4 linked regions of the Astyanax mexicanus genome follow. The protein of the gene in region 1 interacts with the protein of each later gene in a pairwise test. Links are inferred from orthologs where the notes say so. Each region holds a gene or a part of one and is shown in the gene's direction. Other genes may lie near its edges. The genes, in order: adamtsl4, lonrf1l, natd1 and lmo2.

Region 1 (7,939 bases):
TTTTGTATTATTGTATTACTTTTACTATTAATATACTATTCAGTATCACTATTTACTAGGCTACTAGTATTTAGCCTACATATGCTATTTATATTGTTAGCCTGTTATTACTTTATTTATACTATAAATTAGTAGAGCACATCTCATTGTAGTCTTCTATATTGTATTTATGGTAATATGCTTAGCTACTTTGCTGTATGTTGTGCTACTATTTAATTTGACTTTACATTACATTCTATAATCCAATCTGTTTATACTATACTATATTTTTACAATTTGGTTTACCATAATGTAGATATGTAAACGTGCTGTAACATCTAAATCTGTTTGTAGTTGTCTTTATAGTTTCACTCCAATAAAAAAGCAGGAGATTGTCTTTGAGGATTTTATTATATTTTTGTCAGTTTGGTCATTTATTCAAACCTAAAGATTCAATAAATTTAAATAATTCGAAGTGAATTAACTTTGTTCTGACCTAGAGCACAAAAAATACAAAAATTATGGGGAAGTTCATAGAAAAAAACAATTTCCACAATATAAGTTTCTTTTATTTTACCAAATTAAAAACCTCTGGAATATAATCAAGAAGAAGATGGTTGAAAACCTCTGGATGATCACAAACCATCAATCCAAGCTGAACTGTTTGAATTGTTGCACCGGGAATGGCATAAAGTTATCCATAAGCAGTGTGTAAGACTGGTGGAGGAGAACATGACAAGATGCATAAAAAATGTGATTTAAAAATCATTTCTTATTTTCGGCAAATAAATGCTCTAAATGACAATATTTTTATTTGGAATTTGGGAGAAATGTTGTCCAAAGTTTATAGAATAAAACACCAATGTTCATTTTACTTAAACATATACCTGTACATAGCAAAATCAGATAAACTGATTCAGATACTGAAGTGGTCTAGGGCTGTAGATTAAAAACCCTTATATAATATAGCAACTCATTAAAACCGGTTGATAAATGTGCAGTTTTTATGTTTTTAATCAGAAATAAATGCAGCTTCCTTAGTTTTTTTACAGGCCTGTCTTGCATGGACCAGTACCGTGGACATGTTGACATATTGCAGCAGCAGGCCAAAGCAGACAATGCAGCGCCTAGGTATTTATATCTCCTGCTTCTGTGACCCATCACCAGTGCTGTAAACACAAAATAACAAGGTTTTAAGTTGTTCATATCAAAGCAGTTTTTGTCCAAGCCAGCATCATATACTTGCTATTTATACATCATACAGCAGCTTAAAACAATAAATGCATCCTATGGCATGGTTAAATCTGCCAGTTCAGTATAGTGTGGAGAGCTGTGTGTGTAAGTGTGAGTGTGTGAATGTGTGTGTGTGTGCATGCATGCCTGCCTGGTGAAGGAATTAAGTGGAATAAAAACAAATCTGAGCCCCTAACAAAGCTGTAACACTAACTACTTCATCCCAGAGGTATTCGCAGAGGTTGAGGTCAGGGCTGTGTGCCGGTCACTGGAGTTTCTCCACACCACACTCGTCAAACCATGTCGTTATAGACCTCATTCTGTGCACAGGGACAGAGTCACAGTGGAACAGGAAACTATTCCTTATACTGTTGCCACAGAGCTGGAAGCAAATAATAATGAGAAAAGTATTTGTATCTAAGTTTCACATTGTAACTAAGAAACCAATCACTGAGAATCAGCCCTAAATCATCATCCACCCTTCATCAGACTTTACTGGTGGAACCAAAGACTGTACAAAACATGGACACTGAGATTCCAGTATATTCCGTTTTATAGCAATAAAGACAAACGTGTCTGTGATGAAGAGACCAAAGTTAGGGCCAGTTATGCCTACTTATTTTTTAGACCCACACCCTTCTCCCAGACCGAGCTTGTCTCAGACTGCCTTCATTGAGTTAAGGAACCAGAAGCAAAGTGGATTTTAATGTTCCAACAGTTCCAACAGTGCAGTTCCTTTAAAATACAGTACAGTTAATATCTGGTTGCTACTGAGACAGGCTACTACCTGAGCTGCTGCAACAAAGTCAGCACACACCAGGTATAATTTACAAAAAAAAAAGAAAATACATTGCAATTTTTTATGGTATTTGGACACCAGAAAATAAATGTGATTAGATTCTTGGCAGAGAACAGATACTACAGAGTTCAGCATGTCTAACTACATTAATGTTAGCTGACTGGTTATCAAGTAATAAGATCATGTTTTTATCATAATTTTATACTAACATAAGACTCATCAAAAAACATTTTCCACCTACAAAAAAAAAACATTTTCCAAAGTGACCACATATCACAACACCATGTAATCAATAACATTATGAATACTAGTTGCCTGACAGCTCAACCACAACTCAGCTACTCCATCTAATAATGCAGAAGACTGTATCAATCATGATACAGTGTAATAACTGTTCCTCAAAATCAGTAAAAACTGATTTGTGAGGAATGAGAAAATTTTGCCTTCATTAGCACAGGGAAAACCAACTGTTGTAATTAGACACTGGAGATGGAATTAGAAATAAATGTTCTTTTTTGTTATTTAAACATGTGGGGATGAGCATTGCTACACATCTTACTGCAACAAGCCAACAGAGGCGTTCGACACTGAAGAGCAATTTATCAGTCTGGATAACACTGCTCAGTTTCTGGTTCATTGTATGTCACTGCAGCCTTTTACCACTTGCTTTGCACATGGTGATGATCTTAGGCATCCAGCATGCAGCTCAGTCATGGGAAAGGCTCTTTCATAAGGCTCTGACGAAAATGAAGTTGCCTTCAGTGACAGGTTGGAATTGATATTGAGTGATGCAACTGGTTTGGAATGATACAGACCAAGATAGATATATTAGATATTTACACTGTACATGAGAGTTTGCATTGTCTACCACTTCATGTCTGAGCTGTTGTTTTTTCTCCACATTTCTGTTTCACAATATTAGCACTCATAGTTGAACAGGGCAGCTCTAGCATGGTAGAATTTCATGATCTGACTTGTGGCCAATCTTAGAATTCTGCTACAGTGCTATGTTTAAAGTCACTGACCCTGTTTTCACTTGGTCACTTCATGTAACTAATATCTGTGTTGTATTATGATAAAATTTTAACCACATACATTTACGTACGAGTCAAATTCATGTCCAGATAGATGGACAATATTTTAATTGTTGCTTAAAATTGACAAATTTTACGTGACATTGTGCATGATTTTATATGCTGTTGTCCTCAATGATGATCTTTCTCACAGACACGAATCACATGCCAAATTATATACTACATGGGGAGGGGTTTCGTTTGTACTAGGACGTGTTTCGGTTGTTGAATGTGGCTTTTAGAGATGGATGCGTTTACACTGTTATAACATGGCTCAAATGCGTCATAAACTCCATTCACACCTTGCATTAACAATGTCCTGGGTAATCCGATCATAAGTGGACAGCACAAAGTAGAGGTGAGATGTTTCGAGCATGCACTGTAATCTGATCACTCAAACCATATTTAGAGGTAGTCAGAGACACATATTATACACATTATTCTAGTATTCTTAAAGAATTTCAATGCGTTCCTGACAGCAAAGCACTAGCCGCGTAAACCATGCCATTGCCAATGGCAGAACATATATAATACCAGAGGCCACACCGTCTACACAAGTTAGCTAGTTAGGTAATGCATACATTACACCAAACAAATTTTCAAGGGAGTTCACTGTCATAGACAAATATCCAGTGTCTGAATAAAATCATGAGAGTCTTTCTAGAGTAGATTTGCGGTTGTGTCATCTTGAACATTCAGTGTAAGGTGGTTAGGATTGAAGGTTTAAGTCAGTCTTTTTCTCATACTGGCGTTCAGATAAAATCAACTGTGTTTAACCGTGTTCTTGACTTGGCTCAACGAATAGTGACGTAAACAATTTTAACAGCCAACAGGAGAGCTACAGCAAGCAGCAAGGCAAGCGCATTCTGTGGTGTCTTGTCTTGTCTTGACTTTAATCAATTCAAATTTATTCTAGTCTTTTCAACGTTTTTTAGTGTATAGTTAGCATGACTTGGATTAAAGCAATACTTGTGACCGGTGTGCAAGTGAACTAAGTGCCTCGTCTATTTCTTATGCAAAGAATTAAGAGTCTTATTGTAAACTTTTTCAGTAGAAATGATGTGGGAAATCTGATATCTGCTGGTCACAGGAGAAGCATTTAAAATGGCAGGTGTGAACAGCTATAGGTTTTAGCAATCGTCTGTAATCGGATCACCCAGGATATGTTAATGATAGGTAAGAACTGGGACTTGGACCTCCTCCTGAAGTGGTTTAAGTGATCAGATTTGTGTCTGTTTTAATCTGTTTTGGGTGTGTTTACGTTTGTATTTTTATATGGCATGGCCTCATTTAGATATAATCCTGATACCCAAAATTCATAAAGAGACCAGGTGTATATGGGGTTCACTGTGCTCTCTAGCACCTCCTATTACACTGCCAAAGTTTTTATATGAAAATAGGATGTCTATGTGCCAACCTGAAAAAATGAAAATATGAACATTTGGATGTTGTGGGGAACACCTGGCTGCTTTTCATGGGCAACCTTCCACACAGAAGCTAAAGTAACAACAAATAGAACAGAAATAATACAAGAGCATGCACGTGAAAACACCCCACAGAGACACATTAGATAGGAATACACACTTAAGAGTGTGTGTGCACGTGTGTGCAGTTGTGTAATCCACACACTCTCCAGCCCCTTCACTCTCCAACCCCTTTAGGCCCCCCTGCTGTCCAACGTCACACCACTTCTCCACAAGGACAAAAAGGAAAAGTTGGTTAAACGACAGAAATGAAAAAAAGTGGCCCACCCCTCTCTTACCCCTGAGTAGGGGGTGGGGGGCGTGTGTGTGTGTTGTGTGTGTGCGAATGTGTGTGACTCAGCCAGAGGGAGAGGCAAAGTGACAGAGGAAAGAGAGAGAGAGAGAGAGAGTCCGAGTGTACGAGAGAAAGAGAGAGAGAGTCAGTGTGCAGAGGGAGAGAGTGAGTGTGTATGTGTGTGTGTGTGTGTGTGTGAGAGAGAGAGAGAAAGAGAGAGAGAGAGAGAGAGAGAGAGAGAGAGAGAGAGAGAGGAAAAAAGAAAAAAAAGTTGGACAGAGTTTTGGACACAGTTTCACTTCGTGCTTGAATCCGGATTTGGAAGCAGTAAGAAACCTGATTGGGGTTCAATACAGCGCGAGCAGCTCTGTAAGGAGAAGAGAGGGAGAAATTCAGAGGGAGGAAAAGAGAGAGAAGTGATAAAGAGGAAGAAAGAGTGAAAAAAAGAAAAAGAGAATGTGGCCTGGGTCTGTGTGCAGGTAAGCCCCTGTGTGTGGGTTTAACGTTATTATTAGCGCTGTTTAGTCTGGTTACGTTGGAGGTTAATGCCTCCAGCAATATTAACAAACTTCAGTCTCGTGTTTTTCGGTGTGTTTTGGTGTCATTTTTCAGTACACCAGCTTTTTTTGGCCCACGTGCTTCGTTTTTCCCCTGTATACACAGTTTCTCACACATTGTGTTTTTTTAGACCAATAAAAAGTCTCGTTTGTGCGTTAATTTCAGCAAGTGCCTCCTTCACGCGCCTTTTCACCGTTTTCCAAAGCTATAGCTCCACTGTAGCGACCGCATGGGCAGGCACGGATGGATAAGGCGATGGAGGGGTGGGTTGGTGGGTTTTTAGGGCTGGCTGGCTGCGTGGTGAAGAAGGTCTCAGTGCCCCCTTGCCCTTCCCCTCCCCTCGCTCTCCCCGGGAGCTTTTTGTGCCGCTGTCCGGCGCTGTTTTCGTTGGGGTTTCCGCGGTGGCGCGCAGCAATTATGGTTTTTGTGCAGCGTCCCATTACGTTCCGCTGCGGCTGCACGCAGACTGCACCGCGCCGATTTGGGGGGTCGAACCGAATCCGCAGATGCATGACTTAGAATAACACGAAAACCCCTCAGTGTCTGAAGTGATTAGCTCATGGTTTGATGGACAAATAAGCAGCAGAAGTTCTGCAGGACGGGTTGGAGGAGATGGAGGAACAGTGGTCAGGGGTAGGGTCTGGGCACTGAGCTGAGTTTACACTCAGGAGGACACACATCTGCTGAGATGGGTCTGGGCCAGTGTTTACCTCCAGCTCCAGAGCTGTGGTCTAGAGGTTTGTGTCCGCACAGCTGGAAAACTCCAACCTGTGCAGAGCAGGTGGACCTCAGAAGCAGCGGTGGTGGGGGTCTGTTGTAGTGTGTGTTGTTGTCTTTATGTATTTATGATAAGGTGCTGAATGAAGGCATGCTTATTGTTGAATTTCTAAAGCCCTATCTGGACGGGATTAGTTTCTCAGGGGGTATTGGGGGGATTTTCTCTTTTATGGGGGGTCCTCTGTGATTTTAATTAAATCACGCGTTTAATAAAATAGTTATTTGTCTACTGCCACGCAACGTGATTACAGTTTGGACGCACATAGATCCACGTAAACACAACAGCAAGTGGAAATGGAGGAGCTACTGAACACGATGTCTTGTGACCGAGAAAGCCAAAAAACTAATTGATCCTCCTGTCTTTTCAATTTCAGTCCGGAGTAGAAATGTTAAATATTTTTCACAGACGTCCCCCTGAGAAACGAATCCCGTCCGGGTAGGGCTTATGAGTATGTTGTGGTGTATAGTGGTTTCTATATTGTTTTAAGTGGGTGTGTGTGCTGGGATGTACAGTACAGTAGGTTGGTTGGTCCTTCTATTGTTATGTGCCTTGTTTTTGTGTGTATGGGATGCTGGTAGCTGGTTTCAGATGATCTAATCTGGTATATGGTGGTTAAGCTGGTTGAAAAGCTTCTTATCTAGACTGAACCATACTACACTGCCTGGTCGGAAAATGAAATGATCTCGATGCTCCCTGAACCACTGTTTTCCCTAAACCACTCTTTCACAACTCCAGCCCCATGAATTCTGGAATATGCTTGTGCCATCAGGGAAGAAAAAAAAATCAATTGATATATTCAAGTAGTCAGCTGACTTCATTCTTTCATCACATACTGTTGCTGAACCTATACCTGACCAACTGCAGCAACCCCAGATCACTTTTTTAGGCCAGGCAGTGTATATACTGGTAAACAAGCTGGTTGACCACCTCTTGACTAGCTGAGTACATGATGGATTTGTTTTTAGTCATGCTTTGCCATGCTGTTCATGCTGGTCGACAGATTTGGTTTTGCTGGTCATGCTGGATGTCTATCTTGGTCAGGTGGTTCATGCTTTTGGGTCTGATAAATCATAAAACTCAAACATACCTATGCTGGTCAAGATATAGGCTGGTCAACCAGCTTAACCAGCTTAAGATGGCCAGGTTCTTTTTTTTTCAGCATGGCATAAAGATCTGCATGCTGTTTTTACATCATACATACATCCATCTGTCCTAACAAGATTCCCAGTTCACCACAACACTTTTGGGATAGTGGTTGTTGGGCAGTGGGCACTCTGGTTCACATGGCGTTTTAAAATAAGGTAAATTAAGGTCTCATCTGACCACAAAATCCCATATAAAACAAATCCACTCTAGCATTTCTTTGGTGTATTCTTGAGTAATGCCTTTCATTACAGACATACAGACAGATATCCACACTTCTTTATATTGTTGATTGTTGTCAGCCAGTTAACTCTGTAGGTCCTTTAATGTGTTGGTCTGTTTGTATTGCCCCCTTCTTGTTCTGATTCTCAGTTTTTAGGATGTTATTTAGGCAGCGCCTAAGTGGTGTGGTTCAACTTTCATTTCCTCACATTTGTTTGAGAGCACTTAGTTGGATATGTAGTGTTGTCTAACATTTCCTGTATGTGCATTTCTTCCATTTTTTTCCTTAAGAATGCTTTCCATTTTTTGGTCTCATTATCGTGTATCCCAGCATTTAAGATTTAATTTACAGTATATAATGTGAATTTCCTTCCTGGCAGTTGCTTGCATGTTGAT
Region 2 (7,478 bases), on another chromosome or scaffold:
ACAGTGCCATGTGCAGCTGAATGACAGCCCACCTCCCACTCAGCCCCGGTCCACCCCTAACCCGGCGCTGAATACACACTCGCGGTGTGTGTGCGTGTGTGTGTTTCTGTGTGTGTGTGCGTTTGTTTACCTGCTGCTGCAGAAGTGTATGACAGCAGTATCCCAGAACACACTAACAGACAGAACTTCAGCTCCATGCTTCATTCAATACAGCGACCTCTGCTGCTGCAGCTATCGCGAGAATATGACGCAACGAGAGGGCTCACCTGGGCGCGTCTCAAACTGAGTGCTAGTGCCCTACACAGGGGATAATTTTCTAGGGAAGGAAACCAAAGCAGGCGGTTGCATCCATACATTTTTGCCTTTCCTCCTCACCTCCTTCCTCCTCCTCCTTCTCTCTTCATACTTCTCCTCTCCTTTTCATCCTCCCTTCCTACTCCTACTCTCCCCCTCCTTTTCTACTCCTTCTCTTCTCTTTCTTCTCTTCCTCTCCTTCATCCTCCTCCCTTCATACTGCTCCTCTCCTCTGCCTCCTCATCTCCTCTTTTTCCTCCCTTACTCCTCCTCCGTCCTTTCTACTCATATTCTTTTCATCCCTTCATACTCTTCTTCCTTCTCCCTTCCTTTTCTTCTTCCTCCTCTCTTCATACTCCTCTCCTCCTCCTTTTCCTCACTTTCTGCGCCTCTTCTTCTCTTTCTCCCCTTACTATTCCTCTTCACCTCCTCCCTTCCTACTCTTCCTCTCCTCCTCCTCCCTTCCTACTCCTCTTGTCCTCCTGCATTCCTATACTTCAGAACACATTTACCAACATTGGTTACTATTCCTGAAATATAATAATAATAATAATAATAATAATAATAATAATAATAATAATAATAATAATAATAATAATAATAATAATAATAATAATTTATTATTATTATTATTATTATTATTATTATTATTATTATTATGAAAACAACGATTATTATTATTATTACTATTTGAATTTGTCTTAACACCAACCACAGAATGAGAAATGTACAGTAATACCAGAAACCACTGCTGTGGCTCCCCCTGCTGTTTATATTTTCAGAACAACACGTTTCATAATATAATCAATGAGTAACGAACTGCTTTCATAATAATTACCTAATTTCAATAATATTCAACTCATGTTTACAGTAAAGAAGCTGTCATATAGGATATAACAAAACCTGTTCTGATCAGATTAAACTACACGTACAGACCCACAGCTCTGATTAGAAATATCTCTATGTTATGGCTATATGGCATTCACACCTGATTTAAATTAAGTTAGGCCTAAATCATTCTCTAATTTCAAGTCTAATTTCATCTCATTGTTTGTTATTTTAAAGTATAAAATATTATTGGTGCTGTCAAGTGGTTAAAACTCTACATCTACATTAGTTGCGTATCACTTTTTGCTGTAAAATAATTTCAAATTGTGCAATTCAAATCAATGAATGAAATAATTGTCAAATTCCACACATTTTTATTTCAGATGCATAAAATATCAGACATCTTGAGGTCACAATTAAAACCTGAATTAAAAATTTATTAACACTCTTTGTACATGTCAAAACTAAAATGCCAAACCAAAATCAGGTAGCATATGGTATTGTTATTTTTTAGCAATTAACATTATAATTATATTTTGAACAGACCTGGAAAATCAAATTCATGTATTTCTGAACTATACTTAATTAATGTCAGACAAGTAACAGTTTCTGAAATGTTTGTTATTCACTTACACATCTCTCTCTCTCTTTCTGGAATAGAGACTTATTAAACAAAAAGTTGAATGAACTAAAATAAACTGTCATTCCACTTATGCTGTTTGTGTAATAGACAGACCCACACTGTTAACATTGTTAAAGCTTGTAAAGGCTTGAAAGCTTGGTGGTTCCTTTACAAGGCACCTCGACGTTTCTAAGCAATGCTGCTCTGTCCAAACATGTTACTTAACTTTAGAGTAGTATTTAATTCCCCTTCAGTTTCAAACAGTGTAAAAAAACAGCAGTAAAAACAGTAAATAATAAATACATGTTAAAAGGGAGAGTGCATGAGTCAGTTATGTTATGTAAAAAGAAATAAAGGCAAGTATGTTATATGACTGTTTTGTAAGAGCCGGTTACAATAAAATGACATAACTGGGACTGTTGGTGAGGGAGGTCATTAGGGGTCAATCTGGGACTTTCTGCACCCTCACATTATACACTAACATTATAAACCCTGAATAAAAGCAAAGAGTAAGAAATCCAGAGAGAAGAAGCCGCAGAGTCTATATTTATTACAAACAAATAATCTGGACTGATCTGTGTTTTGCAATTTGACCTAAATGTTACATGACTCTCATTCCAGTGCTCTCATAACTCAGGAGCTGGGAGTTGAATGCGCATGCGCAGACACACTGCCCTAAAACAAACCCGGACCTTTTTTCGTTTGTTTCACTGCCTTAAAAATCACCGTTTATTACGGATTAAAGTTCCCGCTGATGAAATAAAATAAATATCAGCCAAAATCGCCGACATGTTCCTCACATAGCTGTTTTTTTTTTTTTTTTGCGTTTTCGCCGACTAACACTCACGTGTCTGTGTTGCTATGGGACGCTTAGCCTGGTGCTGCTAAGCTAACGCTTGTTGTGCTAATGTTTTGACAGGAATAAAAGAAGAAAAAATATTCATTTTCTTTTAACTTAAAATAAAAAAAAATAAGAAGGTTTAATTTTATAAACTTAAAGTTAAGAAAAAAGGTTTCAATGAACATTATGTTAATTTATGTTTTTTTTTTTAGTTTAACTGTATTCATTTAAATTTCTGAATAAAATTGTTTACTTTTATTATCTAAATTTCATGTTGAATTATATGTATTCCTCTGACAGTTTGTTGACACTTATAAAAATTTTTATATACAGCTCTGGAAGCAATTTACAGACCACTTCAGTTTCTGCATCAGTTTCTCTGATTTTGCTATTTATAGGTGTGTTTGAGTAAATAAACATTGTTGTTTTATTCTATAAACTACTGACAACATTTCTCACATTTCTCTCCAAATAAAATGTTGTCATTTGGAGCATTATTTGCAGAAAATAAGAAATGGCTGAAATAACAAAAAAGATGCAGAGCTTTCAGACCTCAAATAATGCAAAGTGAACAAGTTCATATTCATAAAGTTTTAAGAGTTCAGAACTCAATATTTGGTGAAATAACCCTGGTTTTTAATCACAGTTTTCATGCATCTTGGCATGTTCTCCTTCACCAGTCTTACACACTGCTTTTGGATGACTTTATGCCACTCCTGGTGCAAAAATTCAAGCAGTTTAGCTTGGTTTGATGGCTTGTGGTTATTCTTTCTCTTGATAATATTCCAGAGGTTTACAATTTGGTAAAATCAAAGAAACTCATTTTAATTATAACACAATTATTGTAAGAACATCAAGAAATGCAACAAAACTGTGCACTTGCATACGTAAATGTAATAAACACTATTAATGTAAACAAACTACCTTCCACTACCAGATCAGGAACATCACTCTCTATCTTTCAGAAACTCCTGAAGACAGAGCTCTTCAAAGAGCACTTACTCTCTTATATCCCATTATTTCCCTTTGGCCTCTTTTAGGCCCAGTCTTAAATGTTTTTTTTTTAACTTGATCTTCTATGTCTTTTACTACTTAATGTACATCATTATTGTACATCGCTTTGGACGAAAGCGTCTGCCCAATGTAATATAATGTAATATAATTAATGAATGAGTATTTGTGATGGGAAGGCTAACCAAGGTATTTTGTGGTTGTCTCAAATATTGCTGAAACAGCCACAGCCACAGCAATTCAGGTGTTAGGTGTCAGATCTTCATGTGTGGTTAAGTGTTGCTGATTGGATCAAAAAGCTACTTAAGAGATGAGATTAGAGTATAGGGGAAGGGAATGGGCCCTATGAGTAACCTCAGATGTTAGGTGCATCAGTCATCATTTTCCTCTATTATGTTACTTACTACATAATGTAACTGTAGTATAACACTAATAAAATGTCAAATGTAATGTGTGCTAATTATACAACGACGCATTACAACATTATTGAATATGTGACATGTTTTCAAGTTGATGATTTGTAATAGCTCGCCTATTAGATTATTGTGCTTTATTTAACCTTTTGGCTGAGTTAAGTGAAAAGTTACACTTTGTGACAGGTCGGTAACTCTGTTATCTGTATAACTCTGTGATGTTGTGGGATTTGTCAGGGTCTGGTTGTACTTCAGTGTCCCGGTACACCGTGCCGTCTGTCTATTGTGTGACGCCTCATTTCCAGAGTTACAAAACTCACCGAGCGCACGTTTTGTAATCGTCGAGTTCTGACCAATAGGAGCGCAGGAATCTGCCCTCACGTGACCGTGTTTTTTATGTAACTCGCTTTCAGCGCTTGTTCTCGCGCTGGGCAAGGATGGCTGTGATACTATTAACAGTTATTATATCTCTGTGCTGAAGTTATTACGGTGATAATACTAGAGTTATAACACTAATACGCGGGCTGACCGCTCCAGCATGTCGGTGGAGAAACGCAGCGGGGCGCAGGCGACGGAGGCCCGGGCAGCAGGCTTCTACATAGCGGCGCAGGGAGAGGCGGAGTGGGGCGAGGACTCCAGCGTGGACCCGCAAAGCGTGATACTGCGGAAAGCGGACTCACTGGCGTCCCAGAACCGCCTGAAAGAGGCGATAGACATGTTCTGCGCGGCACTGAGGCACGACCCCATCCGGCCGGAGCAGCTGGGCGCGCTGGTGGACTGTATCCTGCGGAACTACAAGCAGGGGAACGCCGGGGAGACTGTAGCGACTCTGCTGACCCAGGGGAACCGGGGACAGGTGGGGGACTCGGGCTGTATGTTTGACTGTCCCGGGTGTGGCAGGTTCATGTGGGAACCTGTGACCGCGGCATGTGGACATTCCTACTGCAGAGGCTGTTTACAGCGGATACTGGTGCCCCGGTGCCAGGTGTGTAGCGAGAACATGGACCGGAGCCCTTCAGAACACAAACCCAACGTGGTTCTGAGCGGACTGCTGGAGAAGTGTTTCCCGGAGGAGGTGAGGAAAGCCCGGCGGGTTGGAGAGGCTGAGGGGCTGATGAGGAGTAAACACTGGGAGGAGGCTGCAGCGCTGGCCAGTGAGCTTTTAAAAAGCGGTGAGCTGTGTTTTTAACTTATTTCGTCTTTATCCTTCGCCCTAAACAAATTATGATATAAAACAGCACTGTTGTCCTTTATTACTGACAAAAGTGGAGAACCCCCACACAGTTTGGGCTTTTCCAGGCTAAACGATTACATAATTTATTCACATCGCCCGAGTTCTACTGACCAACATTTCAGAGAACCGGCCCCGCCCACGTCGTTCCTGGATTCACGTGACTCCGCCCACCAGCCTTACGAAACGCGTTTTTACGCGCGCATGCGTGGAGAGATGAAGGTTGTGTAAGGTTAAGTGTTGAGTTTTGTAATGTGACATGAGGTGAAGAGAAAGTGAGGCCTTTATTAATGGTAGTAATAACAATAATACGACGTATGAATAATGCTGATACTAATATTTTACTCATAATAGTTTACATGCTTACTTGTATGTAGGTATGCTTTATATAATTATAATGTATATCCAAATGCCATTACATAAATAGAATATATACACTCACTAGCATTTTGACAACTTTATTAGAAACACCTGCTCACAACCTTGTGCTTAAACTCACTAACCACTTTATTAGAAACACCTTGTGCTTCCACTAAGGATAAACTGAAATTAATTTTCTCAGGCTGAAACTGAACAAAATGACTGAAATGTTTCATTAATGTTGCCAATTCTTTCACCTTTACATACATTTGTCTGGATTTTTTAAAAGAATCACCTAGAACAATTTCTAGCTACAGTGTAAAGTATTTATGGAACTGTCAACATTTTTAACATCCCAGCAGATGCAGCACAATACAACAATATGACACAATATACAGTACCAGTCAAACGTTTGGATACACCTTTTCACATTCAATTAGTTTTCTTTCTTTTTATGATTTATTTTTACACTGTACATTTAATATTGAATTAAGTAAAGCCATACAGGAATATATGCAGAACTATACTGTGAACTAAAAGTGTTAAACAAACCAGAAGATGATTTATACTTTTTTTTTTTTAAACAGCATATTTAGTTTTGAGGACAGATCTGCACACATTTGGTATTTTAATCTCAGTGTCTTCATGAGGGAGAGTCACCTGAAATAGTTTTCTCAGTGTCTTGAAGGAGTTCCTGGAGGTGCTGAACAATAGCTGCTGCTTTTCCTTCACGCTGTGAAGCTCCAGCTCATCCATCCCAGTTGATCAGGTTTAGGTTAGGGGATTGTGGACAAACACTTTTTTTTTTTACCATTTACTGCGTAATTCCATATGTTTCCTTAATTATATTTATGTCTTTAATTATAATATACAGTATAAAAAAATAAATGAAAGATATAGGAAAAGCATTGAAGAAGCATAGAAGGTGTGTCCAAACTTTTGACTAGTACCGTAAATTAGTCAGAGTTTAGTATTAATTGTTTTTTTTTCACATATTTTGAACTCAAAAAGTGCTTTTTTTGGACATTTTTGGATCAAAACCTTTGGTTGCCAAATATTTGGCGCACCCTAGCTTCCACTCACTGACCACATGTAGAGAGAAAGCACATTGTAACACTTTATAGGTCAGTTATCGGTCATCTTCAGGGTCACCACACTGCGTGTACACCGAGAAACAGGCCACGGGGCACTTCAGGTCAAACCTACTGGCCAAGGTTTCCTTGCATTAGAGTCATGTAATCACATAATTATTTTATTATGCAATTAATTATATGTATTCCTCTCTGCATGTTTTCAGCAATGGTATAATGTTGCTGTAAATGATCAGAATCATGACTCATGGAGTGAGTGGTGTGTCACTGCCACTGCCAGCTTCTGTGAGTGTGTGTGGGTGGGTGAGCAAGCTGCATTATCAAGGTGTCCTAGTCTGCCCTCTGTTTTGGGCGCTTTTGAATAAATGTATGTTTTTTTTTTTAATCTGAAGGCTGACGCTTAAATTCCTCAACTCTGTTTCTGAACATGAGGGCTGACAAGGACACCCTTAGACTGCAGCACACACACACAGACCAAACACATCAAAAAATGTTAAATAACAGCAAGGTAAACTGCATTGCCTGCGTGCAACAACAGAGGTAGCTCTTTACACTGCAGAGTGGGCTCTTGTAGCATCATGAGGCTGGAGGCAGAGTGAGGTACAGTAAGAGAGTGAGGTAGTGTGTGGTAATACAAGGAACAGTCTATGTATCTATCTGTTTGTCCATGTATTTACATTACATTAAGTAATATTATTAGTATATTAAGTTGTCATTATTGTTAATATTATTATAAATTCTCTCTCTTCTGTCTCTTTTCCAGACCCTGGCAATGTTAGACTGCGAG
Region 3 (6,867 bases), on another chromosome or scaffold:
CAAAACTTAATCAAACAAGCTCATGAAATGTCCACTGAGCTGGTCAAAACATCAGAGTTAGGGTCAGACCTGCGCTGAGTTTGGAATGGTTCACTCATTAACTCCTTTACTATTCACTATATTGTGGCGGCTCTGGGTTGTGTGTGTGGCTGCCTGCAGGCATGTTCTGTTCTCCTGTGTGCGAGGATGACAGGGGTGGGGCATCTCCCTTGGGAGGGGTTATGCAGAGAGGGTGGGCACCACTCTGGATCTGCCATCTGGGAGACACACAGCTGGGTTGGTGGCCTTTGGGCTAATTAAATCCGTGTATCATTCGTTCATTTGATATTCAATTGAGAATCAAAATCGGAAAATTAAAAAACCAATTCGTTTTTTCGTTTTTTCGTTTTTGAATATAATACCAAAAAACGAATAACGGCTTGTATTTTGTATTTTTATTTGGTTATCCAAACAAAAATTGGAAATTTAAAAAACGGACCAGGAGCCGAATTTGATTTTGATTTTGAACTTGACCCATTTGTGTGCCCCGGAAGTTACTGATTTGTTTATTCTTGGTGGGTTTCTGTTGCGCGGGAGTTCACTGCAGTGTTATCTACACAGTCTGTATTGCTGTAGGCAGCATGGCCGGACTGGAACCACATTCTGGCCTAATTAAAGATCTTTTTGAAGGTGGTAAGACGCATGAAGAGATTTCGTGCACGTTGCAGCAAATGGGGATCCAGCGATGTTCTGCAATGAGTGTTAGAAGGTTCTGTGTTCAACACGACCTTAAGCGAAAAAGACATGTATTTTCTGTTGTCATATCGTCTTCTTTCACTGCAACGCGTTTAGTTCCTCTGAACAAGATAAAACTCTCCATCCTCAACTCCATCCAAAGCCTACAGCAATACAGACTGTGTAGATAACACTGCAGTGAACTCCCGCGCAACAGAAACCCACCAAGAATAAACAAATCAGTAACTTCCGGGCACACAAATGGGTCAAGTTCAAAATCAAAATCAAATTCGGCTCCTGGTCCGTTTTTTAAATTTCCAATTTTTGTTTGGATAACCAAATAAAAATACAAAATACAAGCCGTTATTCGTTTTTTGGTATTATATTCAAAAACGAAAAAACGAATTGTTTTTTTAATTTTCCGATTTTGATTCTCAATTGAATATCAAATGAACGAATGATACACGGATTTATTTAGCTCTTTGGTTTAATGATTTAGCTCTCCTAGTCTTGTTAAAGATTCTGAGTGAGTGGCAAGCTGGTTCAATAAAAGGAGCTGTTGAGCATTCAGCATGAGTCTCACGGGTCTTCCTTCCTCTTCCACGCCACAAAATAATATTTGCTGTTTAGGGAAAACCCAAACAACAAAACATCTTGCATAGTGCTTTTCTGATGACATTACATTATGGTATACATTGGACATTTTTTACAATGTGTTATGGGTGTTCAATTGTAAACTTTATAGGAAATAAAATGTACTGTTGAGATTTCAAACTCTACAAACACACCATAATTTTCACTATTTCTGTAACAGGGAGCAATTCTGAACACTGTATCAAACCCTTTGTAAAGATCACTTTCTGGTTGTTCCAGAAAATATACATTTTAAGAAAATATAAATATTTCCTGATAAACATAATTGCAAAGTGAAAAAAAAAACAATAGGAGGTTTCTTACAGTGATGACATTGATTTAAAGGGTTAACAAAGAAAGACTTTTCTGTAGTTTTTAAGACCAATCTGAAATATTATTATCTGAAATGTATATTGTCCTCCAGCAGAATTTTCTTGTAATAACCTGACTTAAAAAAAAAAACCACTCCTACAGTCAGAGTAATGTTACAGCCCATCACTAAACTGAACTGAAGTAATGGTTTCCAACAGAAATTCTGAAATAGTTCTATATTTAATCTGGGAGTTCTAGAAGCAGCTCTCGAAACCATAAATCCTAATCTACTTCAGCTCACTGTGAACTCGTTTACCTTTTTCATGTTGTTCCTTTGTGTGTTTATAATTCTTTTATAAAACTCCTGTGTGCATTATTAGCAACTCTGTCTTATAACCAATATAGGAACTGGTTTCCTGGCAACTAATTATTAAGCCTAAGCCTAAACTAATAAGGATTTTCAATTGAGCATCATTGCTGGCACTGCAATTGCACTTATTGAGAAACACTCTAGACCTTTAATCCATGCTGGCCCGTGAAGTTTCTGTGCATGGATTTGCAACTGTGCTTAAAGTGTATATGCACCAATGAGCTTTGATGTTCAAAAACCTGCCTAATTTGGTGTAGGTAGGTCCTCCTTGTTCCAGCAAACACACAGTGTTCTGAAGTGTGAACTGAGGCACCAATATTCAGCAGCAAGTCCTGTAGGCCAAGGTGGGCCTTATGTCTGTTATTGTTGTTAGAATTCACCAATACTCCCTTTATATTTTATATATTACTTTAAAGTGAGTAATCAGTGTTTTTCACTTTACATTTTTTTTATTGTCCAATAAAAAGAGCTTTTGTTCTGCTATGTATTTGTTTAGAGTAAATGACATTTACTAAAAACAAAAAATATATCACAAATATAACAAATATAATTACTTGAGTTACTTATTTATATTTATTTTTTATTTTTAAAAATGTATTATGTAGTTTCTCTTTTTTTTACCTGATTAAACTATTTATAACTATAACTATTTTTTTCAGTTTCTTTAAATTCTTTATAAATGCACTAAAAATGCTGCATTGAAATAATAAAAAAAACAAATAAAAAAAAAAACAAAGGTTCACTAATTGATTCAAAATGTTTTTTACATTACGTTAGACATTTTAATGTTATGGCTTATCTGTGAATTTTAATGAGTGGAATTTAGTTTTTTTTTCTAGAAAAATAAAAATATAATTTTTTTTATTATTATTTTTTTACAATTCATTCTTTCTGACTACTATTGGCCATGAATCCATGTTTTTCACTTAGTTTCAGTTGTTTTAAACTTATTTGTTTATTTTCATTAAGGAAAATGTTTTTTTCTTGTCTTGAGTAAGTAGAGGCTTTTTTATTATATGACCTATTATATATTTAGTTTTCATTTTATTAAAATTCATCCACTGCTATCCAGATACTTTTGGGCAAGTGACCTACTATTAAAATACTTTGGCAGTTTAATTTTCTGACTGTATCAAGCTAAATTCGAAAATAGAAAATTGGGTATAAAACTTAATCATTGTTTTTTTTTCACTCAGTAAAGTGAAGAAGAAATGGGTTTCCATCCAGTTTTTCAATTATATAGTTTTTCATTTCAGCCTTTGGCAAACAGAATTTCAAGAAAAATGAAAAAGTGAATCTTCTCTCGCTTTTCAGATGGGTCCATTTTTGTATCTTGTAACACATATCTGATGGTATAATCCTTGCAATATGCAAAAATGGAAAAATCAGAAAATGAAGAAAAGATTCCTTTTTATTTTTGAGATGAAAAATATATAATTGGATAAATTGATAAAAAGTATTTATTGTACACTGCATTACATAAAAACCAATGAATTTTTACATCCAATTTTATATTTTTGCATTTAGCCAGTCAGTCAGAAAAAACAGTCAGAAAAAAAAATAATAAACGTTACACTGACCATGGCTGATCCGTGTATTTTTTTTGTTTGTTTTTTTGAGGGAAAATGTTTTTTTTTTAGAAAAGGCTTTTTATTTTATTAAAATTCATCATCCACTGCTAACTGTTATCTGGATATTTTTGGCCCTGCGTGGTTACAGTAATACGGTCTCCATCTAGCGGTCAGGTGCGGCAAGTGCATCACGAGGCCGCGCATCAAAACATTGCCTGCGTGTTCTGATTGGCTGAGGCGAACACGTGGGCTCACAGCTGATTTTTTTGGATGGAGTGTTTTTTTGCTGGGCTGTCTGAACGCCCTCAGTCCGCCTGGGCCAGCCCGGCTCTCAGCCTGCGTCTCGGGGCTGCTGCTGCTGCTGCTGCTGCTGTATCAGACGCAGCGCTCTCACCGACTTTTAGCGCACCGCTGCTCCAGCACCATGGCCCAGGCCGCCCAGATCAACATCCTGGAGATCAGCAGCCCCATTCGGGTCGAGCACGACAAGAAGCGGCGGCAGTTTAGCATCCGTCTCAACGGTAAAGAGGCTGGAGTTGGGCTGGCGGGGACAGGGAGAGAGCAGCGCTGCAGGGCTGTACCTTTGTTTTCATTACAGCCTCGGCTCGGCTGAGTGACACTGGCTGGCTGGCGGGCTAGCGTTAGTTAGCCGGCTGGCTAGTCCTCTGGAACTAGTCCACAGCAGTGCTCACAGCTCTGCTCTTCACTGCTGCTAGCTCAACACTTTCCCTCTTCTCTGTTAACAGTCATTTAACCTAACTAGTGAACCTAGTTAACAAGCTTAGCAACATTAAAACATAGACTTAAGTAACTAGTTAGTTGAATCTCGTTCGTCCTGTATTTTTTCCTGTAAAGCCAAAACATTAAAACCAAGCGTTAACCTAGGTTACAAGTTCGCCCGCTAGCTTAGCTTAGCTAATGTATATGTTTTTCCTCAACCTTAGCAACTAGCCAGCTCTCATTACCCTTAAGCTCGCTACACAGCAAAAATTCGACATTCACGCCCGTTTAACAGCTTAAACCTCGAGATTCAGGTGAGGAAAACTCATTTTAGAAAGGTCTTTCGTTTGTTTGGAGATATTTTCGAATGTAAACACAGATTTAGTTGCTTTTCAGCTGTATTTTGTTAGCCAGCCCTCGTTTGACTTCCTGTTACATCAATAACAAGAGATTATCTGTGCAAAACAAAACAGACACACAGTTGTTTTTTTCCTCTGTCAGTGTGGTTTTCACTGAACCCGTAGCTGAAAACCTTCAAACCCAAGCTTAGCTTTTTCTATCAAAGAAGAAAAGCAATTTATGGAGGCTTAGTTAGCTAGTGTAAAATGGGTTCGTCGATGAAGTGAAGCATTCATTACATTTAACTACATTGGAATAACCATTTATTAAACTGAAAGAACAGTTTATGCCCCAAATTAAGGGCACAGGCCACTGACATAGTGGTAATTGAATAGCATAATAAAGCATTCATCCACTTTTAAAGTAAAGATAGTGTCATTCTTGTGATAGGCCTATGTGATGCAAGATAATATATTGCTTAAAAAGCCACTAAACTCTAAAACATACCAGTCCTGCTTAAAATGTTTATAAACATTTCCTAACCTTAAAAAAACGCTTTTATTAAGGTAATTTCCGCCTGTACTTTGGTACGCAGACACATCACAATATACAGATCAATCGATAATACCACCCCACTGCTGACATCCAACCATCTGGGTCCTGCCACTGTCAGAGGCACGCTGCTGCTGCTGCTGCAGCTCAGCCAATCAGCTCTGCCTCCTGCCCCACCTCTAAACCCATACATCACCCAGTGCCCCTCCCAATCTACCCCTCTCATTTTTTAGCATTTTTCAAATTTGAGCTGAGGGTGGAGTCAGCTAAAATTAGGGGGTTTAGTAGCCCTTTACATGTTTAAACCAAAATGTTTAATTTATTGTGATATTAGAAAAATACTTGGAAAATCTCAATTTAGGACAAGTTGACATTTTAAGCAAACAGAACAGTGGGATCTAAGGACAGGGTACAACAGTGCCTTTTAGTGGACAGGGTTTAAACACAACACAAAATGAACCACCTTCCGAAACCAATATTTACAAGTAAACTAATAATTAAAGACCTACACTGTATTGCAAAACAAAATGTAGAATCAATATTTTCTTGCACACCTAGAGGGAACAGTTCATTAAATTAAGGCAAACAATTGTTAGACTAAGATAAGAATGTATTAAATGTAGATAACAAACATCTAAACTGAGGTAACAATTATGTAAATTGAGGGCACACTTGTAATTATTTACTTAAATGAGGAAACAACTTACTAAACTAAGTTACTGTTACATTGAGTGAACAAATTGTTGAACTGAGGATGCAGTTTTTTTTAACATCAGGGGATGGTTTGTTAAAATGAGGAAACCATTAATCCGGGAGAACATTTAATGTATTTACCTTTTTGTTCTACCTTGATACATCAGGGGCGGCATATCATTGACCTAATTAACCTATTTTGACCTACATTAGCGTCATAATTCTGTTTATTATTTAGCATTTTCATAATTACCCAGGGGGAAAACTCAGTTAAGGAAGGTTGTAAACTGTTTATACTGTGCTTTTATAGCAAATCATCAAAGCAAATAAAAAATATAAATGAACACAACTGAAAAACTCAATAATTATAATTTGTATCATTTTTAATATTAAACAGTCAATAAAGCCAGAACAAATCACAGATAACTGAGGCCTACACATATATATCTTGTAAAAAAAATCTGGTTTGTTTACAATACTAATTATTTTTTACTCATCCTTTGTTTGGTAGGTTCTTATGATAGAGCCGTGTTGCTGTATGAGTATGTGGGGAAGAAGACTGTGGACCTGCAACACACTGAGGTGCCAGATGCCTACAGAGGACGGGGCATTGCCAAGCATTTGGCCAAGGTGGAGTTTTATAACTGTAGATAGAGTGAAGAGGAATTCATGTATGAGTTATGACCTTAATTTATCTGTCTCCGGACTGCCAAGAGTGTGACCAATAGGCCAGTGTTGGCCAGTAAGAATCCAATGTCAGGATAACAGAAATTTGATTTGTGATCTGTGGGAATGCCATGTACTGTGTTTTCTTTAAATATCATTTAAAGCTAATAGACATTTAACATTTATATGGGGGCTACATTTCTGTTGTCATTTCAGTTAAATTAATATAATGCAGATATTTCATAGCATTTATTTAAATCCTCCAAATTCCTGCTCTGTTTGGTTTTAATAAAGGCA
Region 4 (7,881 bases), on another chromosome or scaffold:
TCTCTGCTCATTTTAGCAACAGTTAGCTGGTAGCGGTTCAGGTAGCTGATATGTTTCTATAAACAATAGTGCTGAGGGCTGTGGTGTGATGCTTGTGCACAAAGCAAAATATGTCAGTGGAGACATCTCAGATGTGATGGTGAAATTGAGTCCTCTCCTCACATAGGAATGGTTGCCAAGTTAATTCACTTATTTAATCCTGTTTTCAGTCCCAGACTGCCCACAATAAATGCACATTCTAAAAAGTAATTGTGTTGTAGTCAGAGGAAGCAATATTATCAAGTTTAGTAAACTAACCAGGCATCAATAAAATGATTTCAAAACTTCAACCTAATAACTAATAAATATGCTCTTTCCACATTGTTGGTTCAAACAGCTTTCCTATAGGCTTCTGGCACCATATATTTGCATAGTGAATGTGGCCTCTAATTTACTTAGCATCTTTGTGTTGTCTGTTGCCCAAAGCTACTTTATCCTGGGCTGCATTAATGTAATATATGTGTGAAGACTACCAGTGTTGTAGGCTGTAAAAGCAAGCTACCTTTATTCTGTGTTCCTGGAGCTCACAGTATGTTGGCTTAGGTTTGCAGAGTTCACTCTTATGCTTCCCCAGTGTTATGCATTGGCAGTATTTTACAAATGTGCTAAATATGTTAAGCCTATAATCTACATTCTTTAAACCAACAATACCTGAAAAAAACTGCTCAGTTAATTAAACTATTGTTGTGTGAACAAAACTCGGATTCAAGTTATCATCTAGCTTTGACTCAGTTAAGCTGAACATACTTAAAATTGTATGTATTTACAACTTAACTGAGTCAAAGCAAAATGATAACTTGACTGAGTTAAATTGAGCCAATGAAGCTATCGTATGGACTGCATTTGAGAAAAGTATCAGAACATGTGGACTGCTTGCTGGAGGGATTCCATGAGTGTAACTGTCAGTCCCCGGTAAGTCTGCGGTCCTGAGATGGTAGTTTTATCTTATGGCCCAGTCCACCAGCCGACAGTTGCCTCCCTCCTACAGTGAGCCCCAAGGCTTTGCTAGCAGATAAGATGAGTTGGCCCTAATGGCATCAGACAAAGATAGGTGTTAGGAGACGGTTTGAGAATACACAGAAGTGAGATGGTGATAGGATGTCTCTTTTGTGTTGTAAGACTAGTAATATTGTCTTAAAGACCATTTGGTACATTTAAAAAATATTCTAATATAATGTTGTGGTTTTAGGGGCAGAATAAATGTTCAGCATCTCAAAGAGAAAATGAATCAACACAGGGACACAATTAGACATACAGTGTACATACAATTCCAGGAATATACACACAGCACAGCTGTCCCAACTCTCTCTGATTTAGAGCTGTATCTCGACAAAACAAATTGGGTGTTCTGCTATTTCTATCAGCAGTAACAATAAACACTGGTGTCCTAGTTCCACTGGCAGCCATATTTCCATGCCATTACACGGCCACCATCTATAATCTGCTTAATCTTGGTTTCATCTATATGAAAAATCTTGTTTAGACAGTTTTCGTTTAGACAATCGTTCGTTTCGTTAGACAACAATGAGCTCTAACATATTTTCCTGACAGATACCTGTTGTCTTCTCTCATCGTTTTGCAGGATAAGGCTAAAAGGAGCTCAGAATCACCTACAGCACCTACTAGATGAAAAATGAGATTGAGTCCCATCCACTCTTAAAGAGTACATTGCAGCTATTTTACTCTGCGGCACAGTGTTATCGATTGAGACCTGATCTGTAGCTTCCTTACAATAATGTTCCAGCTCCATCCTCAGAACTTTACATACAGTGTATCACAAAAGTGAGTACGCACCTCGCATTTCTGCAGATATTTAAGTTACACTGCCCGCTTTCTTGTTTACAGACTTGACAGCCATGGAGACCAATTTGATGTAGTGTTTGGCGTATGTTCTGAGCACTGACAGACTGACCCACCCCCCCTCTTCAATCTCTGAAGCAATGCTGACAGCACACCTGCACCTATCTTTCAAACAGAATTTGGACGTGACGCTGAGCACCTGCACTCAGGTTCTTTAGGCGACCAATGTGAGGTCTGTTCTGAGTGGACACTGCTCTTTCAAAACGCTGGATTAACTTGGTCACTGTGCTGCTGCTCAGTTTCAGGGTGTTCGCAATCTTCATGTAGCCTTGGCCATCTTCATGTAGCACAACAATTTGTCTTTAAAGATCTTTAGAGAGTTCTTTGCCATGAGGTGCCATGTTGGAACTTTCAGTGATCAGTATAAGAGAGTGTGAGAGCAGTACTACAAAATTTAACACACCCGCTTCCTATGCACACCTGAGACCTAGTAACACTGGCCTAATCTGAACTTTTATCCTTGTTAACCAGCCTTGCAATCTTTCTGAATTAATCTGATAGCTGAACTTCCAGCCTGTTCTCAGTATGAGCACTTGTGCAGTGATATACTAGGGGTATCTCAGCTTCTTGGGCTGGCCTCTGATTGATGCCTTTGGCTGACATCTGTCAGCTGCTACTCTAGTGAGTCTGCCTTCATGATAATGATAGCATTCTTCATCTACTATCTTACAGAGGCCATGAAACAACGCTAATTACACATGTAACTGTGGTTCTATGATGCCAGATGACTTGCTGGTAGACGACAAATGCCACAAATAACATTTTGATATTAAGGATCATAGAACCACAGGTACATGCAGTTACTAGCAATCTTCAACACATCCATAAAACATAAAAATATGTTTTTACGAGAGAGCAGGGACAATTCTATGATTTGTATAATGTTTTATTCATAAATTTAATTAGTATGGACCCTACTGTAGATTTTTTTTTCAGTTCGATCATTAGCACACATGATTTAACATTATCAAGGACTGATTAAACCAGATGTTTGGGGTAAAGACAAACAAATCTGGCCTGGCATGAGGAGATCCAGGGATGGTGGGCAGACTTCTCCTTGCTGTATGGGCAGCAGAAAGAGATTTATGTGCCTTGCTTAAAGACCAACCAGTGGCAGATTAGGCAAATCCACTAATCCCACAACCCTGTGATCATTAACCTCATGCTCTAAATACTGAGCCTCCTTTTCTACTGTAAAATGGAGGAAAACACTGACATGATCATACTCAATAAACATAACAAGGAGCCCTGTGAGGAGAAAAAAGCTGATGAAAAAGTACATTTTCATATAATTCCATACAGAACCTCAAAAAGGACAAAATGGCATATTTTCAAAACCATTAGAATTTGTTGATCTTCCATAAGGTACAGAGATAAGCCTTTGGACTGATTATGGACTGATGAGACAAATATAAATGTTTACCAGTGTGATTGAAAAGGCTAAAGTTTTGAGGATCTGATCATGATCTCAAACACACCAGCTCATCTGTGAAACACAGTGGAGATATGGCTTTTTCTGGGATGGGCTCACTTATCTAAATTGATATTTAATGAACTCAGAAAGTTAAAGAAATATTCAACCAAACAGATTGGTAGCAAGATAATGGCCCAAAACCCACTGCAGTCTGGAAAAGCATCACAGAGGAAGAATGCAGAAGGTTAGTGATGTCAGTGGCTCACAGACGTGATGCAGTTACTGCAAGAGAAGAATTTACAACTAAATATTAGTCTTATTCACTTCATCCATATCTGTTCCAATACTTTTGCTCATTGGAAAAATTGGTGGGTTCAGACAGAAGGTTTTATCTTTTGAACCCTGTATCAGATCCAGATGTAAATATATGGAAATAAAAACTAAATAAAAATGTAATTTAATATTGAAGACATTAAAGCTATACAGAACCACATGCTGAATTATTTAGTAAACAAAAAAAAGTTCAGAATATGTTTAATACTTTAGATTCTTCTAAGTATAGCACATCTTTGAGGACAGATCTGCAGACTCTTGGTGAGATTTTTGACTCTTGGGGAGAGTCACCTGGAATAGTTTTCTCAGCATCTTGAAGGAAGGAGTTCCTGGAGGTGCTGAACAACAGTGCTTTTCCTTCACACTGTGAAGCTCTAGTTCATTCCAATTAAATCACCTCAAATCACCATCTCAGTTCATCAGCTTTAGATCAGGGGATTGTGGAGGATTTTTTATTGGGGCATTATTTGATAAATCGCTGTTATCATATTTTCAGTTTCAGTGATGGCGACCCTGGGAGCTGAAGCTAGCGTTGTGGGATGTAAACAATGTTTTTAAAAAGCTTCTTGGGCACTTTTTAGGTTATTAATGCCTCATTTTAAATGTCAGGGCTCTCCAGACTCTAGCAAGGAAGTGTGGAGCTACTTTGAGCAGGATAACAGTGTAAAAAGTGATTTATCAGGGCAAATTATGCCCTGTGTCACCCAAGGGTGTTGGAACGGAGGTGTGCTATTCATCAAAGGAAAGTACTTTTTATCATGTTTTACTACAACAAAAGTCAGTTCTCCTTTAACTACTTTCATGTTTTTAATATGAATCTACAATGTAGAAAATAAATTATATAAAGACATACAGACACTGAATGAGAAGGTGGTGCTGTAGTATTTGTACTTTTATTTAAGCGTATAATTTGTGTAGTTCTGCCACCTCAGTTGAGTAAATGAAACTTTAGTTTAGGCTCTTTATTACACAGTTACTCTTATTACTATTAAAATACGATGTTGAGCCAAATGGAAATATTTGGTTTATTATAAAACTTCTCTCTGTTTTGCTGCTGTGTTGCTGTGTGTGTGTAACAGTGTGTAACGGTGTGTGTGTTATATAGGTGTGGTTTGGTTGGGTGTTGGGGATGATGGGGGGGTAATGAGGTCGTGAGCGCTGTTTCCTCTGATTGTGCAGGAGGAGGAGAGGGGGGGGGTTGCAGGAGCGGCTCGTGAGCAGGAAGTGTGCTGCAGGCTGAGGGTCGGGGGCTGGACACACTGTATAAAACCCGCTGCTGTGAAACCCGGAGTCACTCAGTCAGAACCGCAGCAGCAGAACCGGGCCGAGCCGAGGCGAGGCGGCGGGAGGAGGAGCCGTGTGGAGACTGAGGGGTGGAGCTGCTGGAGCTGCTGTTCCTCTCCGCCCAGAGAAACTGCGCAGTCTGAGCTTCACACAGCGCCGAGAACCAGACCCTCAACATGCGGAGCACCGGACCCAGAGTAACGGCGAGTATTCCGTAGTAACGGCAGGTAACCCTTGGTAACGGCAAAAAGCAGCGTAACCCTTGGTAACCGCGAGTAACGGCGAGGGGCAGGTGTGCGGATTAGAGCATCCTATAGCCTCGGCTGCAGGGTCGCGCTACCGGAGACTGAGCTCTGCGGGAGAAGGAGGCTACGGTACCGGGTCCGGGGACTGAGCGCTGCGGGGTTAGAGGAGCAGATGTGCGGCTCTCAGGTTCCTCTCACCCAGCGCTAAAATGGCCTCTACAATCGAGAGGAAAACACTGGAAGCTAATGAGTGAGTATCTCTCTGTCTGTTTATTTACTGTAGCTGTAATATTTCTCAGTTTATTGTAATAAATATATATATAATGATAAATAATGCAGGTGTATAGACTGTGAGTGTGTGTGTGTATCTCTCTGTGTTTATTTACTGTAGCTGTAATATTTCTCAGTTTATTATAATAAATATATAATGATAAATAATGCAGGAGTGTAGACTGTGAGTGGGGTTGTGGGTATATCTTTGTGTTTTCTACTGTAGCTGTAATGTTTCTCAGTTTATTATAATAAATATATCAACATAAGTGTTTTATAAACGTTTCACTGACCACCTTCTTTGATGTGACAGTGAAGCGTTATATATAGCTGTGTAAAAGACAGCTCAAGCACTTACTCTGGAGACCTGTGACATGCTTGTTAAGAACTAAGCTGGTCAACCATATTGAACCATATTGATAAAGGAAAACACAAAAATTGCTACCAGCAAAAGCTATATTACAGTTCTCCATTTTTAGTTTAGTGATTAGACTCAGTTTTTTCATGTTTTCAGCCCATTTTCTGCCAACTCTGGTCAAAAATATGAGACCAGGCAGCAGCTGTAGCATATGCACTTCCATAATTCTCAGACACTTTAATGAGTTTAATAAGTTTTTGTTTATTTAGCCTTTCAGGAAATGTTTGTAGACTCACACTTTTCTTTTGCCCTCACTTAGTATATTTGTTATTTGCTAAGACTGAGTGTTGTCTACATTTTTTTATACACAGGCCTCATATCATGGTTAAAGGGAGGGAATGTGTGAAGTTTAACCACACACTGTTCAGTAAGGTAAAATTTAGTTTTCTAATGAATTTTGCAGAGAACCTGTGGATGAGGTCCTCCAGGTACCTCCATCACTGCTGTCCTGTGGTGGATGTCACCAAAGTATCGGAGATCGCTTCTTCCTCAAGGCCATTGAGCAGTACTGGCACGAGGACTGTCTGAGCTGTGATCTCTGCGGCTGTCGGCTGGGGGAAGTTGGCCGGAGGCTTTACTATAAACTGGGCAGGAAGCTGTGCAGGAGAGACTATCTCAGGTAAGAGTCCCTTCAGGTCTGAAACATACTCTGATCTTTAAGAGAGAGTCTTATATTTAATTATACCACAGTTATTCCTGACCCTGCATTGTAATTGGCTGAGAGGAGTTCTATGAGTGCTGTTATCTGCTGGTAATGCACTGTAACCGAAGCTCTCAATGTATTACTCCTCCACATATAGGTAACCTAGCAACAATGCAGCGCTTACGAACCAAACAGCGCAGCTACAAACAGAGCAGCAATGAAACTATTTTAAATAATTTTAGTGTTTAAAACCAAACAGATTGTATTTTCTCATCCTTTTAACTCAAAATCTTTCATTAAACAGCAATAATAGAACTGTGTTATAATCGCAATAATACACTCGAGGTTTGTGCTATAATGTGCTGTATTGGCACTGCTGATCTACATTACGTGGCCTATGGCCTTGTGCCTAAGGCCGCAGCACAGCAGTGCTAATATTACATGTTATAGCACTGCCTTTCCTGTATTATTGTATAAGTAATTTAATTCAGAGGAAAACATGGGCCATGTTGCCTGACGTACATTTACATTATTATTTTATATGTTGAGCATGTTTATACCTTTATGTGTGTTCAGCACTGCAGTGATTAGCACTGATTAGAATGGTGGTGGTGTATGAGTGGATCAGATGCAGCAGTGCTGCTGGAGTTTTTAAACACTGTGTTTAATCTCTCACTGTCCACCACTCTATTACACAACAGCCTGTAGATAAAATAAAGTCAGAGACTGAAGCTCTGATTCTGTTGCTGCACAGTTTACACTGTTGCCAATCCTTCATTGATGGGTACAATGGCTTCTTTTTCTGGCTTCTTTTCTGGCTTCTTTGTCAGCCAGCCTCACTGCTGCTAAAGCTGAATTTTATCACAAAAAAATCAGCTCCCTCACAGACTCCCGGAAACTATTTGCTACATTCAAAACACTACTCAACCCTCCACCTCCTCCTCAGGCTACCTGCCTTACGGCTGAAGCTCTTGCCTCATTCTTTACTGGGAAAGTGGCAGCTATCAGCAGACAGTTTACTGATGCGACATGTAGCAGTCCTACATCATGCTCTGCTGCCCGGTATCCCTCTACCGAAGGCGTCGCTTTCTCCTCGTTCGCTCCTCTCACTGAGAACGAGACACTGGCTCTCCTAACGCGTAGCCGTCCTACTACGTGTCCACTTGACCCGATTCCTTCAGACCTTCTGCAAACCATTGCACCTGCAATCATTCCGGCTATTACTCACACGATCAATGCCTCTTTAACATTTGGTGTGTTCCCGACTGCTTTTAAACAAGCACAGGTCACACCACTGCTTAAAAAGCCTTCTCTCAACCCCGCCCAGGTTGATAACTACAGACCGGTCTCACTACTGCCTTTTCTTTCTAAAACA

Evidence for each region.
Region 2: the proteins of adamtsl4 (region 1) and lonrf1l interact in binary tests that used the Homo sapiens proteins (3 or more experiments, as listed by UniProt). The two-hybrid records come from large-scale screens. The link is inferred for Astyanax mexicanus from reciprocal best matches to the Homo sapiens genes ADAMTSL4 and LONRF1.
Region 3: the proteins of adamtsl4 (region 1) and natd1 interact in binary tests that used the Homo sapiens proteins (3 or more experiments, as listed by UniProt). The two-hybrid records come from large-scale screens. The link is inferred for Astyanax mexicanus from reciprocal best matches to the Homo sapiens genes ADAMTSL4 and NATD1.
Region 4: the proteins of adamtsl4 (region 1) and lmo2 interact in binary tests that used the Homo sapiens proteins (3 or more experiments, as listed by UniProt). The two-hybrid records come from large-scale screens. The link is inferred for Astyanax mexicanus from reciprocal best matches to the Homo sapiens genes ADAMTSL4 and LMO2.

Annotation. Positions count from the first base shown.
Region 1 is NC_064413.1:29,579,237-29,587,175, forward strand, and holds the start of adamtsl4 (thrombospondin type-1 domain-containing protein 4), read left to right. Parts: upstream 1-4,923; 5' UTR 4,924-5,298; coding exon 5,299-5,321; intron 5,322-7,939. UniProt on the Homo sapiens protein: Positive regulation of apoptosis. May facilitate FBN1 microfibril biogenesis.
Region 2 is NC_064419.1:8,754,267-8,761,744, forward strand, and holds the start of lonrf1l (LON peptidase N-terminal domain and ring finger 1, like), read left to right. Parts: upstream 1-4,455; 5' UTR 4,456-4,547; coding exon 4,548-5,181; intron 5,182-7,454; coding exon 7,455-7,478. Other genes in the region: very low-density lipoprotein receptor, read right to left, coding at 131-197.
Region 3 is NC_064426.1:27,674,820-27,681,686, reverse strand, and holds the start of natd1 (protein NATD1), read left to right. Parts: upstream 1-3,867; 5' UTR 3,868-4,024; coding exon 4,025-4,121; intron 4,122-6,415; coding exon 6,416-6,534; intron 6,535-6,867.
Region 4 is NW_026040047.1:1,173,609-1,181,489, reverse strand, and holds the start of lmo2 (rhombotin-2), read left to right. Parts: upstream 1-4,869; 5' UTR 4,870-5,384; coding exon 5,385-5,425; intron 5,426-6,266; coding exon 6,267-6,482; intron 6,483-7,881. UniProt on the Homo sapiens protein: Acts with TAL1/SCL to regulate red blood cell development. Also acts with LDB1 to maintain erythroid precursors in an immature state.